Linked DNA regions of Schizosaccharomyces pombe. The main gene of each other region encodes a partner of the protein of the gene in region 2 in a complex. Each region holds a gene or a part of one and is shown on either strand. Other genes may lie near its edges.

Region 1 (4,081 bases), 1.5 Mb from region 2:
GAGAATCATGCCTCTTTACCAATTGACTTGAATCTAACTTTTACTAATATTAATTTAGGCCAATTCGTCCTCACGCCTGAGCCATCTAGTAATACATTCTATGCCCCCTCTTCGCCTGCTTCTGCAGTGAGAAGAGAGCCACTTTCTCCAATGTCTTTTGTACGGATGCGTTCACATCGCGTTAATAAAATTGGCCGTTCTAGTCAACAATGTGACCATGTCCTATCCACGGTTGATAAAGCAATTTCTCGTGTACATGCTATTGTAACTTGTACACAAGACCGCATGATTATTGAGTGCGTGGGTTGGAATGGGATGATTGTGTCTGATAAAATGAGGAAGTCAGTATTCCACATGAAGAAAAATGATCGGATTGTCCTGGTAAGACCGAATTCGGATGCTTGTCCTGTACTGGATGTATTCGGTTACCGAGTTCTTCTTGGTTGGCCAAGTGATTCTGAAGATGAATGGGAAGGAAATCTTAATGCTAAAAATTATGAAGAAAATCGTGAACCTATGTCTCCTTCACCTCAAGAAGCTTTACCTTTGATGCCTTCATCACCTCCTTCTCAAGACTATCAAAACGATCAGAATCATCTCATATTGTACACTAATTCCGAATCCATTCCTAAGCTAAACTTGCGTAGTAACGAATTAGTATATCCTCCTCCATCCAAAGATTTGTTACAAAAGCTTCTTGCCTTAGAAAAAGATGGTCAGGTGGAAAAGTCTGATTGTTCCAAAAATACACAATTAAAACCATCTTTTCTCCCAAAGAACACCGACGATTTACTCAATGGCACTGATGATAATAACATCGTTTTAAGAGAAGTTAAGGTTTCTTTTGAGAACGAAAAAATCGAGAGTGATGATCTTGATAAAAATGAGGAAATTAGTGAAGGTGAAGAATACACTCCAATTGAAGAGTCAAAAGAGCCTATAACAGTAAGACGGGATAGCGTTATACAAATTGATGAATCGTCCGCTGGACTAACGGACGTTATCTCTGAACTTAATTTTACAAACCATAATGATGACTCAAAGAATTCTAATATTACAACTTCAAATGATTCCCCAGTGAACGAAGTTGAGCCAATGGCTCCTGAATTGAGTTCAGCAGTTGTGGAAAAGAAGGAACCTGAAGACTACGAAAGCATCTCTGCTGTTGATGAGAACACTAATGACAGTAATGAATCCCTCCCTTCTAGCCATGATTACTCAGAATCAACAAAAGAAAATTCAGCTCCCGATAGCTTATTATTAGGATTGGTTTTAGATGAATTGGTTTTCTCAACAACTTCAACTACTCCCCTTCCTGCACTTTCGCATTTATTTCCTTCCAATATGCCACTTCAATTAATTCAGGACAAGCTTCGAGACTTGGCAGCCAAGCACCCCTACTTTGAAGAGGTTAAACGTTACGGAACTGATGCTAATGGTGATCCATTGTGGAGTGAATGGTTTTATAACCCAGATGTGGATGATGATTTAGAACGGCGTATGAGATATGCTCCATTAATGAGACCAGTAAGATCCTCACGTCGTGTACATAAACAATATTATTGGAAAAAGCCCCGAGCTCGTCCACGTTCATCGGGACATTCTTCTAGGCGTCGTCGTCTTTCATAACGAATTGAATGCTGGCATCAGACACGACCCCTATAAAATTTCGCTTTTTGATATTGTATACATTTCGTTATTACGAATGGAATTATTAGATTTTTCAAATGGGGTTCAACAAAATACAATTGAACTCAATAGTGATTTACATTTAATATGAATTTTGGGTAAAAAAACGCATTCTTTTTTATAAAACTGTATTTACAATGTATAGAAATAAATTGCTACTTTAAGCTATTTACAATTTTGATATAGCATTCAAGTAACGTGTTACTTGCTACATGTGTTGTCATATCAAAGACAAGAAAATAAATTACCCTCATATTGGAACCAACTACGGCAAGAGAATGAGCAATACTCTTTATAATCACGTATGTAACTTCCTAAAGTTTTAGAAAACATATTAATTTGTATTTCGCTAGTGTACAAAGTTGTTTCAGTCCATTCAGCGAAGCCTCGATGAGTTAGAACGTGGTGTTCAAGATGAGAGCAACACTATATCGTTAGCTGGAATTCAGGGTATGTGTAGATGAATAATTATGGTACTTATTTTAACCAAGTTATTCATGAGACTAATGCAAATCAATTTAGGCCAGATCTCAGCTTCATTTCTGTCATTATCCAGATCCATTGATGACTACGATAGTATGGTCCAAAGGGAATTGGTTCCCGCTAAAAAAAAAAAAGCTACAATACGAATCCAAGAGTTCCGTCAAAAGCATGTTCAGTTGTTGGAAAAATTTGATGAGTTGAAGGCACACGTTCGTGACATTGCGCAAGCAAAAAATAGAAAAGAATTGTTAGGGAGGCGTGGGTATGTGAACTCTCTTGATAGTCCCTACGGAAATTCAACAACGGATGCAGAAATTGTGGAAGGGCCATCAGATCTAAGCAGACAAGATGGTTTATTAAAGGAGCATGATTTCCTTGGTCGTGCAGAATCTCAAGTTGACGAATTTCTAGAACGTGGGCGGATGATTCTTGGTGATTTAGTTGAGCAGGGAAGCGTTTTAAAAGCTACTAAGACAAAAGTACTGAATGCCGCCAATACCCTTGGCATTACTCGCCATACTCTATCTTTAATCAACCGTAGGTCCAAACAAGACAAGATTATATTTTATTGTGGAGCATTCCTTGTATTTGTCCTCTTTTACTTGATTTACAGGTGGTTACGCTAACATGTTCATGTCGTTGGCTTGTTTAAATTTACTATTCTTATATGATATGGGGCAGTACAACAAAATCAAAGATGATTAAAAAATTTGAAGAGCTTCTTGAGAGTTAAATTTTTTATTAATTATTTTTAAAAATAAGCTATACATTTTGCACTTGTTAGCTTCTCCTTGCAAGCTATTACTGTTGTGTTTTTTTCCTTCTGTTTATGACATTCCACTAATCACGCACTTATGGGCCTTTTAAATCTAATTCTTTCTTTGTGTTTTTTTAAATCCTTAGTTTGTCAATCAATTAATACCGTTGCGGTAATGCTTGACTAAAACACCTTCTCTTCAGGCGGTTGCTTTGAAATGCTTCAATTGTGATTCCATTTCATTTTATTTTAATATCCAAGAGAAAATTAACTTACCAATGGGCAATAGTTTTTTTTCCTTAGTTTCTTCGTAATTTGCTCAGTTAAGCTATGTATTAAAAATAATAAAATAGACTAAAACTAATTGTCATCACGAACCGTTAGTTGACGACTGTTTTACACTATTTTTATTGTCAACCGTTTTCAATGCAACTTAAGAATTTGTCGAAAGCCAATTGAAATTTGTATTCATATATATTAATTTTGTACCATATATATTGTAATAACTGTATTGGATGAAGTTAACTTTTACTAAAGAAACTCGAGACACGTTTGTTAAAATTAATATCGTTAGCGATTATCCTTTCGTATACCATAATACACCAAACTATCCTCCATTCTCATCTTTTTAAATATCTAGCGCCAATATTTAGTAATTCCTATAAGAATTATTTAATGTTTTTAAATAAGTATATATCAAACTATTCCAGAACCAGGGCTGTGAGCTGCGCTCCAGTTCTATCATACAAGAAATGTAGTTATCGAAATTTCAATGGTTTATTACAGGCAAGATTTCAAAGCAACAACTTGAGTTGGTCCAATAGAAACAGAGTGGTATATAAATCATTTCAGCCCAATCCTAGAGACAAGAGGTTTCAATGGATTTTTGGTGCTCTTATTGCAGGAGGAGGTGTATACTATTTTACACATTTGGAATACGTTCCTATAAGTAACCGTCGAAGGTTTAATGATGTTTCTTTAGATTTTGAAAAGCGAATGGCACAAGACGCCTACAAAGAAGTAATGTCTGAGTACGGAGACCGTATGTTACCAAGTTACCATCCTACTACCCTTTATGTTTCACGTGTCCTTAAAAGAATTATAGCTGTTTCTGGTATGTCTGATTTGAAATGGGAGTTACATGTAATTCGA
Region 2 (3,213 bases):
CTTACAAGCAAGTATATCCCACAAACATTTATTGCCGACAGCGTCTTCAGTTAAGACATGCCTTCGATCACCCAACATTCGATATTTTAACAAACCAATACCACCATGAATAACATAATCAGGGGTTTTGGTTAAATTGATGTTAGAATAGCTCTCAGTATGATGCAAATCATAATATATATCCTCAGCATCGTCGTGATATAATGTTGGACAGCTATGATTTCGTATGTCAGAAGAATGTCTCGAGGGACAGTCCGATGATACAGAAAGATGAGATGAGGTATGCTTAGATAATGCTGCTCCCACGTCCTGATTAAAGAGGGGCTCATCCTTCCAACGAAGAATGGAGCCATCACGACTAGTACTCCATATGAAAGATTGACGAGCAACAATGTCAGAGACAGGAGCATCCTGCTTGCATATTGCAGTACAGCTTTGGTTGTTAGGCTGGTTTCTTATATCAGTACGAGTAATCAAGCCTGAGCGATCACCAGCATAAAATACTTTTAAATCTGGGTGCTCAGAATATAATGCCCATACACTGTCTGAATGAGCTATGAAAGAGAATAAACATTTTTGCGCCCTTAGAGACCAAAGCTTTATTGTAGCGTCTGAAGAGGCTGTGAGAATTGTTCTGCCATCATCACTAATTAGAATATCTCGAACATTGTCAGTATGACCGACTAAATCTGTAATCCTTTTCTTGGAAACACAATCCCATAACTGAATGTCTTTTTGTAGTCCGCCGTTAGCAATTATGTTGTTATTCGCTGCCAGCGAGTAAACACCAGATCTTGGACCAACAACAAGAGAACAGTCAGGTAACTGTTCAAATCGCATAACTTCTTGACCTACGTTGTAGTCCCATACAATTATCCTTTTATCCAACCCACCCGAAGCGACTAACGGACTCTTGGAATATTTGGGAATGCTTACGCGCTTTACGTAGTCGGTATGCTCGCCAATTGTTGATAAACAAGAAGCATTCAAGACATGTGGCTTCCAGAGTTTCACCGTTGAATCAGAAGAACAAGATATCACTAATAAATGTTAGAACGTCAATTTCTATAAGGCTACCGCTATTCTCCAGAGATAATTAAATTTTTCAAAGGCTTACCTCCTTCGGAATCATGTGTTAAAGCTATATCATTTACCCAAGCAGAATGAGCCTGGATTTTGGCTAAGGGCTGGGAAGCTTTACCATAATCATACCCGATGTCCCAACCGAAAAGCTGTCCATCTCGGCCACCACTGTAAAGTGCTCTAGTAACTGGTGCTGACCCTTGTTCTGAAAAGTACCGACCTAGCACTAGACAATTAGCATCCAAACGGTGCCCTAGTTGATCGTTACAGGAATCAAGAACATAAGTAACCTTGTACCGTTTCCGAACACTCATGAGAACAATAAATGAATTATTAATCTCTTAAAACAATGCAATTATAAACAAAAAATCCAATTCAAACGTAAAAAATAAAAATTTATATTATATGATGTCGAATTCAATTTATTGAATGAATTCAGGTTCAAAAGTATTGCAGAAAGATAGTGTGTCCTGAGTCTAAAACGCAGCGGATAAATAAACCCTTTTACTTGGAAACAGGAAACAGTAATGGATCCAAATATTTTGGTAGCGAGTACCTATACAAATATATTATATGTTTTGACTTAGCGATGAATAGCAATTCCTCAAATAACTCAGATGTTAAAGAACGGATCCTACTGCTCATTAAAAATGGATGGAAACGATGAACTTCCAAACCATTTACCTACTAATAAGTAGTCCGATCGATATTGGCATTTGATAAAGCAATAATTAGGCGGCTGATGCTAAGAATTGTAGATAACATTATGTTTGAGCTCGACGAAAATAGAATCAAGTTAGGAGATTCGTTAAAGGATTTATCACCACGTCCTAAATGTCGTTAAATTTTGGTAGTACTCCAAGTGATATAGAAAGATGCTAACGTATGTACATTCATTTTTGTAAAAGTTATTTCTATAATGAATGATCAAAATGAGCGGCGTTTGGAAACTCTGTCTGGGCAGGTTTCTTCTTTGAAAAACGTAACCTACGATATTTATTCCCGTGCCAATGACTATACTCGAATTGATCGGGCTGTATGTAATTTAAAAAAAAAAATTTGAGTTTTTACCTAACCTGTATTATTATAGACTGAAAGCTTTTCAGGACTTTCAAATTCTGTTAAAAAATCCACCGAAAATTTCTTCCGTGTGGTTCGAAGTGCCGGACGACGAAGAATCATGACAATGGTGCTGGCAATCGTAGGGAGTATACTAATAATCTACTATGCATCCAAATGGTTTTTTTAACACGACATGAAAGCGAATGCTACATAAAGGAACGGATATAATGACATAACCTCCTGCTTCAAAATTATAAAATGTACAAGCTTTGAATTCTTATAGGCAATAAATTTATCGATGAATATTCTGAAGATAAATTTGAAAATATAAGCGCAGAATTACATGAAATATTCTTAACGAAATACTACTCCTTCCTCGAAATTTCAATAAGTCCACCATAAAAGTAAAAATAATAAAAAATTTAATTATGACTGTATATCCATATTAAGCTTGATATTCCTCACTTTTAGGAAAGAGTTTTAAGCAAAGAGACGCAGTACTAATTGAATAGAATCATGACATTGTGCCACAAACTAAGTATTCATTCACCTTCAACCGGCAAAAAAAAAAAAAAAAAGATCAAAAGGAAGGGCACAAAAATAAATAATAATAAAAATTTTAACACCTTAGCTTCACGTTCAAGCTTTGTGCATGCAGACCATGAGATGTTTGTATTGATTTAGGCTTTTTTAAGAACACAGCATTCAAATGTACGGAAGTACAGGTAATGAATACTCTTTTTCCGATGTTTGCGCAAAAATTTAAAAATAGTGCTCAAAACTTCAATTTCTTCTTGAAAATCCAGATGGAAGCATACGCGCCCGTCTTAAAGCGTCTAGTGCGTTTCGGTGACTTCCTACACGAGCTGATGTGGGCCTATGCGGGGCAGAAGACGATCCATTTGGATTGGAGGCTTGAGAAAGATGAGCTAAAGAAGCACTACTGTGAGATGGGCTTATACCCGAAGAAGAAGATGTGGAGTGTTCGAATGACCTACGACTATCCAAGGATTGTCGTGTACTTTCAGTTGGAGAAACAAAAAATGAAGGAGATGTACGTTGTGGTGG
Region 3 (4,869 bases), 370 kb from region 2:
TGAAACATTACCAAAATGGCCTGACAAAGTAAAGAAGATGCAGCGCAATTGGATTGGTCGAACTACGGGTTTTGAAATATCTTTTCCTTTGCTAAACGATAAAGAAACTCTTACAGTTTTCACTACTAAACCTGAAACAATAATAGATGTTAGTTTTATAGCTCTTTCAAAAAACCATAAACTTGTTTTACTAGAATCCCAAAAGGATCCTTCGTTGGCAGAACATCTTCGCAATGAATCCTTACTAGACAAAGGATATCAGCTCCCGTGCTTTGCAAAAAATCCAGTAACTGGCAAAGCTTTACCAATATTTTATGCTCCTTACGTTTTGGACTGTTATGGTACTGGCGCCGTTATGGGCGCACCTATTCACGACCGCCGAGATTTTGAGTTTGCTAAGCGTAATAACATAATATTTTCTAAAGAAAGTTGTATAGGTTCATATTTTACAAATGAGGGAAAAGAACTTTTGAATCATCATGATTCTTCGAATTTAATGGATATCAAGCAAAAAATGCTTCAGCAAAAGATTGTCAGTTACCTTGAAGAGAAGAAATTAGCCAAACGTGTTAAAAATTATAGACTCAAAGATTGGCTTATATCAAGACAAAGATTTTGGGGTACTCCTATACCAATGGTTCACTGCGAAACCTGTGGTGCTGTCCCAGTCCCTGAATCTGAACTTCCTGTAAAGTTGCCTGATCTTGATAAAATATATGAAAAAGGTACTTCGCCGTTATCAAATCTAGAAACATGGATGAAAACAACCTGTCCGAAATGTCATGGCCCAGCAACAAGAGAAACTGATACTATGGACACATTTGTAGACTCATCATGGTATTATTTTCGTTTTTTGGATTCTAAAAACTCGGAGCTTCCTGTAGGTTTAGCAAGTGCGTCCTCTTTGATGCCTGTTGATATTTATATTGGTGGCGTTGAGCATTCAATACTTCATCTTCTATATTCCAGGTTTTTTTCAAAATTCATGAAGGATATTGGGTTATGGAATGGTGATAAATATTTAAATGAACCATTTACTCAACTAATTACTCAGGGGATGGTTCATGGTCTTACTTATACAACGATGTCGGATGAACGAATACTTAATCCAAAAGAAGTCCAGAAAATTGGAGACGAATATTTTCTAATCAGTAATCCTAAAGAGAAAGTTCAACTTTCTTACCAGAAAATGAGCAAAAGCAAGCATAACGGTGTAGATCCGATACGTACTATTCAAAAATATGGCTCAGACATTATTAGAGCTTACATAATATTTTCAGCTCCAGTGGAAGGCGTACTCCTTTGGAATGAAAATGCAATAATGGGAACAAAACGGTGGTTAACCAAAATATGGAATTGTGTTCATCAGTTATTGGAACGTGAGAAAAAAATGTCTGATGCGATGAGACAAACGAAGTTAACTATTGTCGACGATCACAATAGCAGGAAACTCGAATCACAATATAATGAATTTATTTCACAATGTTCTGCTCATTATGAAAATGTATTTTCTCTCAATTTAGTAATTTCTGACGCCATGAAATTGACTAATAATATAGCAGATGCTTTAAAAAATAACAAAGTCAATATCGGAACAATTAAAGCATCTTTGGAAGTGCTTGTGAAATGTATTGCTCCAATAATACCTTGTTTTTCAAGTGAGTGTTGGTTGCTGCTAGGACATAATTCTTCCGTTTACTCTAACTGGCCCATTTCCAAAAATAAAAAGGAGAATATGGAGGAGCCCGTTACTATTCCTGTCCAAATTAATGGTAAGGTGAGATTTAAGATTGAAATGCCCAAACTCAATGATGAAAATGAAATACTAAATTTTGTGCTTGAGACGAATGATGGGAAACGTTGGCTCTCTAATAAAAAAGTTTTAAAATCTTTTGTGAAACAAAAAATCATCAGTTTAGTCACCGACTGAAAGTTGGTTGAGACACGAGCTTCATGTTTCAAAATAATTTTGATATTTACCATAACAATGCAATGTTGGTTGCGTAGTTAATTTAATGCTTAAAATTCATTTTGAATGAAAAATATCCTATCTTAATATCACAATGTTTTCTAGTAGCATAGCTTTTCTATCACTGGTATATTTAGGAATCTCTACGTAGTGGGATACTTCTCTAAACTACATACTAGTAAGAACGTCATCTGAAAGCCACATTAATCAACAGAAGAGAAACGTTTGTTTTAAAATCATAACTTAAGCTACTAATTTTTCTCTTATAAAAATTTGAAGATCTCTTTAGCCATGAAGTCTATGCTTTTGAGAGATTCGGTGAAAAAAGCGTCTCAGTTCCAAAGATCGTTGCACAGTGATCCTAACCAAGCTAAAATTCTGCTAGAGGAAAGAAGGAAGCTTCTTGAAGAAGCCAACTCTTCAGCTGACGAAAATGACTCGCATTCAATGGCTACTATCAAATCACATTTTGAAAGACTAAAACGAGATGAGCAACTTCTTAATGGCGTTTTGAAAAAATATGATGCGAAACAGGAAGTTCTATCTCCTGAAGAATTACGAGATGCACAAAACTTTTTAGAAATGCAAGAGGCAAACTCTTTAGACAATTCTATTAGAGGCACTAATGAGCTTCTTGAAAGAGCTTATGCTACGAGGGAAGACTTTGATTACCAAAATAGCGTCTTAGGAAATGTGACCAATCGCATAAACGGGGCGGCCATGTCAATCCCTTTTATTAATCAAATATTAAGGAAAACCTCGATCCGTCGAAGACGTGATTCTATCATTTTAGCTTTACTCATATCTGTCTTGATGCTTTTGTTCCTTTTTTTTCATTAAGTTGCATGTTTTATGAAACGTTTATGAAGGGCATTGATCCCGCCAAAGTTATGAATATGTCATAAAGGTTTAATTAAGATGAAATAATATAAAAGTCCTTTTACTTTTAACCAACGTTTTTATTTACCAAAAACTTAATCGCTGTCTTCAGGTTTTCAATTTCGACATTAGTTGGATCACCGGTTCCAAGCCAGCGAATTTTGCAGGAATCGTCAATTAAATACACATTTCCAACAAGTTTGTTGTTCCATCCTATTTCTGGGAAACTGAACTTATTGTCGTATGCTGTAATATATTCATTCTGCTAGTTAGCAAAAGGTTATAAATTTTGGAAGTAAATAAATCTATCTTATCAAGCGAACAAACTTGTGAGCAGCTTGGACAAATAATGCGTCTACTTACCCAGCACTTTTCTGGTATTGATCTTTTAACTTTTCCTATAAATATCTTCTGTAGCCAATATTTTATTAGATTGGATTGAACATTTGCATAACGAACTGGCAGATAATCAAATGGAGCTAGATGTTGAATCCAATTCCTACATTGGTTTTCTCCAAACGCGTTGCTAAATAATGCAAAGAAAAAGGGCGAGCCTTGCCAATCTTTATATAGCTCTTTGTACTGATTTCGTAATGACTTCCCATGAAAGTTGTACATCCATAAGGCGCTCTAAAACGTGTCAATATTTTTAAGCAATAAACTAATTTTTTTTCATTCTTATTTGAAATTTCCAGAAATGAATATTACTTTTAACCAATTGTTCATACCTTCTCCTTAAATAATCTTGGAGGACTGTAAAACAGCTTACCATTAAATCGACGAACTTCGTTGAAATCTTGAATAGTTGATCTCTTCATTTCATTCAGCAGCTCCTTCTGTCTTTGCTCAGGAGAAGATGTACTCGCGGGTTTGGTAAGTTTTTCCCATAATGTTGGCTTTTGGACTTCAGAAAGCATCGTCGGTTTTACCAGTAAACCTACTGGAATGAGAGCAGATGGGGCTTTTTCTTTTGTATCATTGAGACTTTTGGTGCTAAAAGAACGCAACTTGAACTGATGCTTAACAATCAACCTCGGAATGACTAAATTTTTTAAATAATTATATGCCATGTTTACCAATTATAGGTAGATTAAAGGGGAAATAATCTTTAATTTATTATGCGATTTAAGAAACGCAAGGATGAACTTAATTATTATTATAAACTTCAATAGATAGGTATAGCAGAAAGGAGCTGTTGTTACAGGTGGAAGTACTCTGACGTTAAAAATTCATATCTTAATTTTCATTTTGGTTTTTTAATTTGTTTTTGGACATTAGTATATATCTACGATAAAGGTTTTCTCCTTTTAATTTCATTGTAATATAATTCAAGACTAAAATTGGCTTTTCATTGGATTGCGAATCTTTCATTGAATACTATCTTTTCAACTTACATTGAACGTGCATGTAAGGATAGGAAATGGAATGCTGAGATAATGAACAATACAAACCTTTCTAATTAATTCAATGTTTAAAGCAAACTCATTTAGCGAAAAATTCTAGCTTATTAAAACAGCTGTCAACCAGGGCGTAGAGATTACAATATAAAGACCTTACTTACCCTTCTTAATGTACTACAATACAAAATCATAGTTAAAAGAGTAGCTTTTTACGTCCCTGCCGACTGTTTATGTAGATGCATGAAAAACTATGAGAATATAATTTAGTAATCGTTTATATAAGCTAATACGCATTAATATTATATTAATTCATAATGCTTAAAAATCAAAGCAATTTCAATTTCCAAGTGGGTTAGAAAGTACTAATGGGGGGTCCATATTCTCTTTAAGACATTACTCACTTGAATAGCAATTATGACTTCGTCTACTACCTCAAGTACTATGTGGGGGGGTTGACCACTTATGAAAGTGAACCTACTAAAGTAGTTAGTGATACAAAAAAATAACTAAGTGCGCAATAATTCTCCGTCAACAAATAAATCGTTGAACTAGTATTAGTATATTGGCGTATGTAAGCTAATATAGTCGTTGTTTGCGTAAAACGAATTCAAATGGCTCCCA

The links. The genes of interacting proteins can lie anywhere in the genome.
Region 1: sft1 (region 2) and bos1 share a complex: the UniProt entries of both Schizosaccharomyces pombe proteins name them as parts of the SNARE complex.
Region 3: sft1 (region 2) and gos1 share a complex: the UniProt entries of both Schizosaccharomyces pombe proteins name them as parts of the SNARE complex.

Annotation. Positions count from the first base shown.
Region 1 is NC_003424.3:1,923,135-1,927,215, forward strand, and holds bos1 (SNARE protein Bos1), read left to right. Parts: upstream 1-1,946; 5' UTR 1,947-1,967; coding exon 1,968-1,991; intron 1,992-2,032; exon of another isoform or gene 2,033-2,042; coding exon 2,043-2,139; exon of another isoform or gene 2,140-2,211; coding exon 2,212-2,798; 3' UTR 2,799-3,405; downstream 3,406-4,081. Other genes in the region: tos4 (transcription factor), read left to right, coding at 59-1,629; metallopeptidase Oma1, read left to right, coding at 3,605-4,081. UniProt on the Schizosaccharomyces pombe protein: SNARE required for targeting and fusion of ER-derived transport vesicles with the Golgi complex.
Region 2 is NC_003424.3:413,590-416,802, reverse strand, and holds sft1 (SNARE protein Sft1), read left to right. Parts: upstream 1-1,963; 5' UTR 1,964-2,002; coding exon 2,003-2,119; intron 2,120-2,173; coding exon 2,174-2,332; 3' UTR 2,333-2,558; downstream 2,559-3,213. Other genes in the region: bun107 (WD repeat-containing protein), read right to left, coding at 1-1,040, 1,118-1,397; rod1 (arrestin/PY protein 1), read right to left, coding at 2,929-3,213. UniProt on the Schizosaccharomyces pombe protein: Vesicle SNARE required for retrograde transport within the Golgi complex.
Region 3 is NC_003424.3:779,227-784,095, forward strand, and holds gos1 (SNARE protein Gos1), read left to right. Parts: upstream 1-2,134; 5' UTR 2,135-2,260; coding exon 2,261-2,809; 3' UTR 2,810-2,915; coding exon of another isoform or gene 2,916-3,110; 3' UTR 3,111-3,211; coding exon of another isoform or gene 3,212-3,478; 3' UTR 3,479-3,576; coding exon of another isoform or gene 3,577-3,918; 3' UTR 3,919-4,193; downstream 4,194-4,869. Other genes in the region: SPOM_SPAC4G8.09 (leucine--tRNA (Leu) ligase), read left to right, coding at 1-1,930; atp10 (F1-F0 ATPase assembly protein), read right to left, coding at 2,916-3,110, 3,212-3,478, 3,577-3,918. UniProt on the Schizosaccharomyces pombe protein: Nonessential SNARE involved in retrograde transport within the Golgi complex.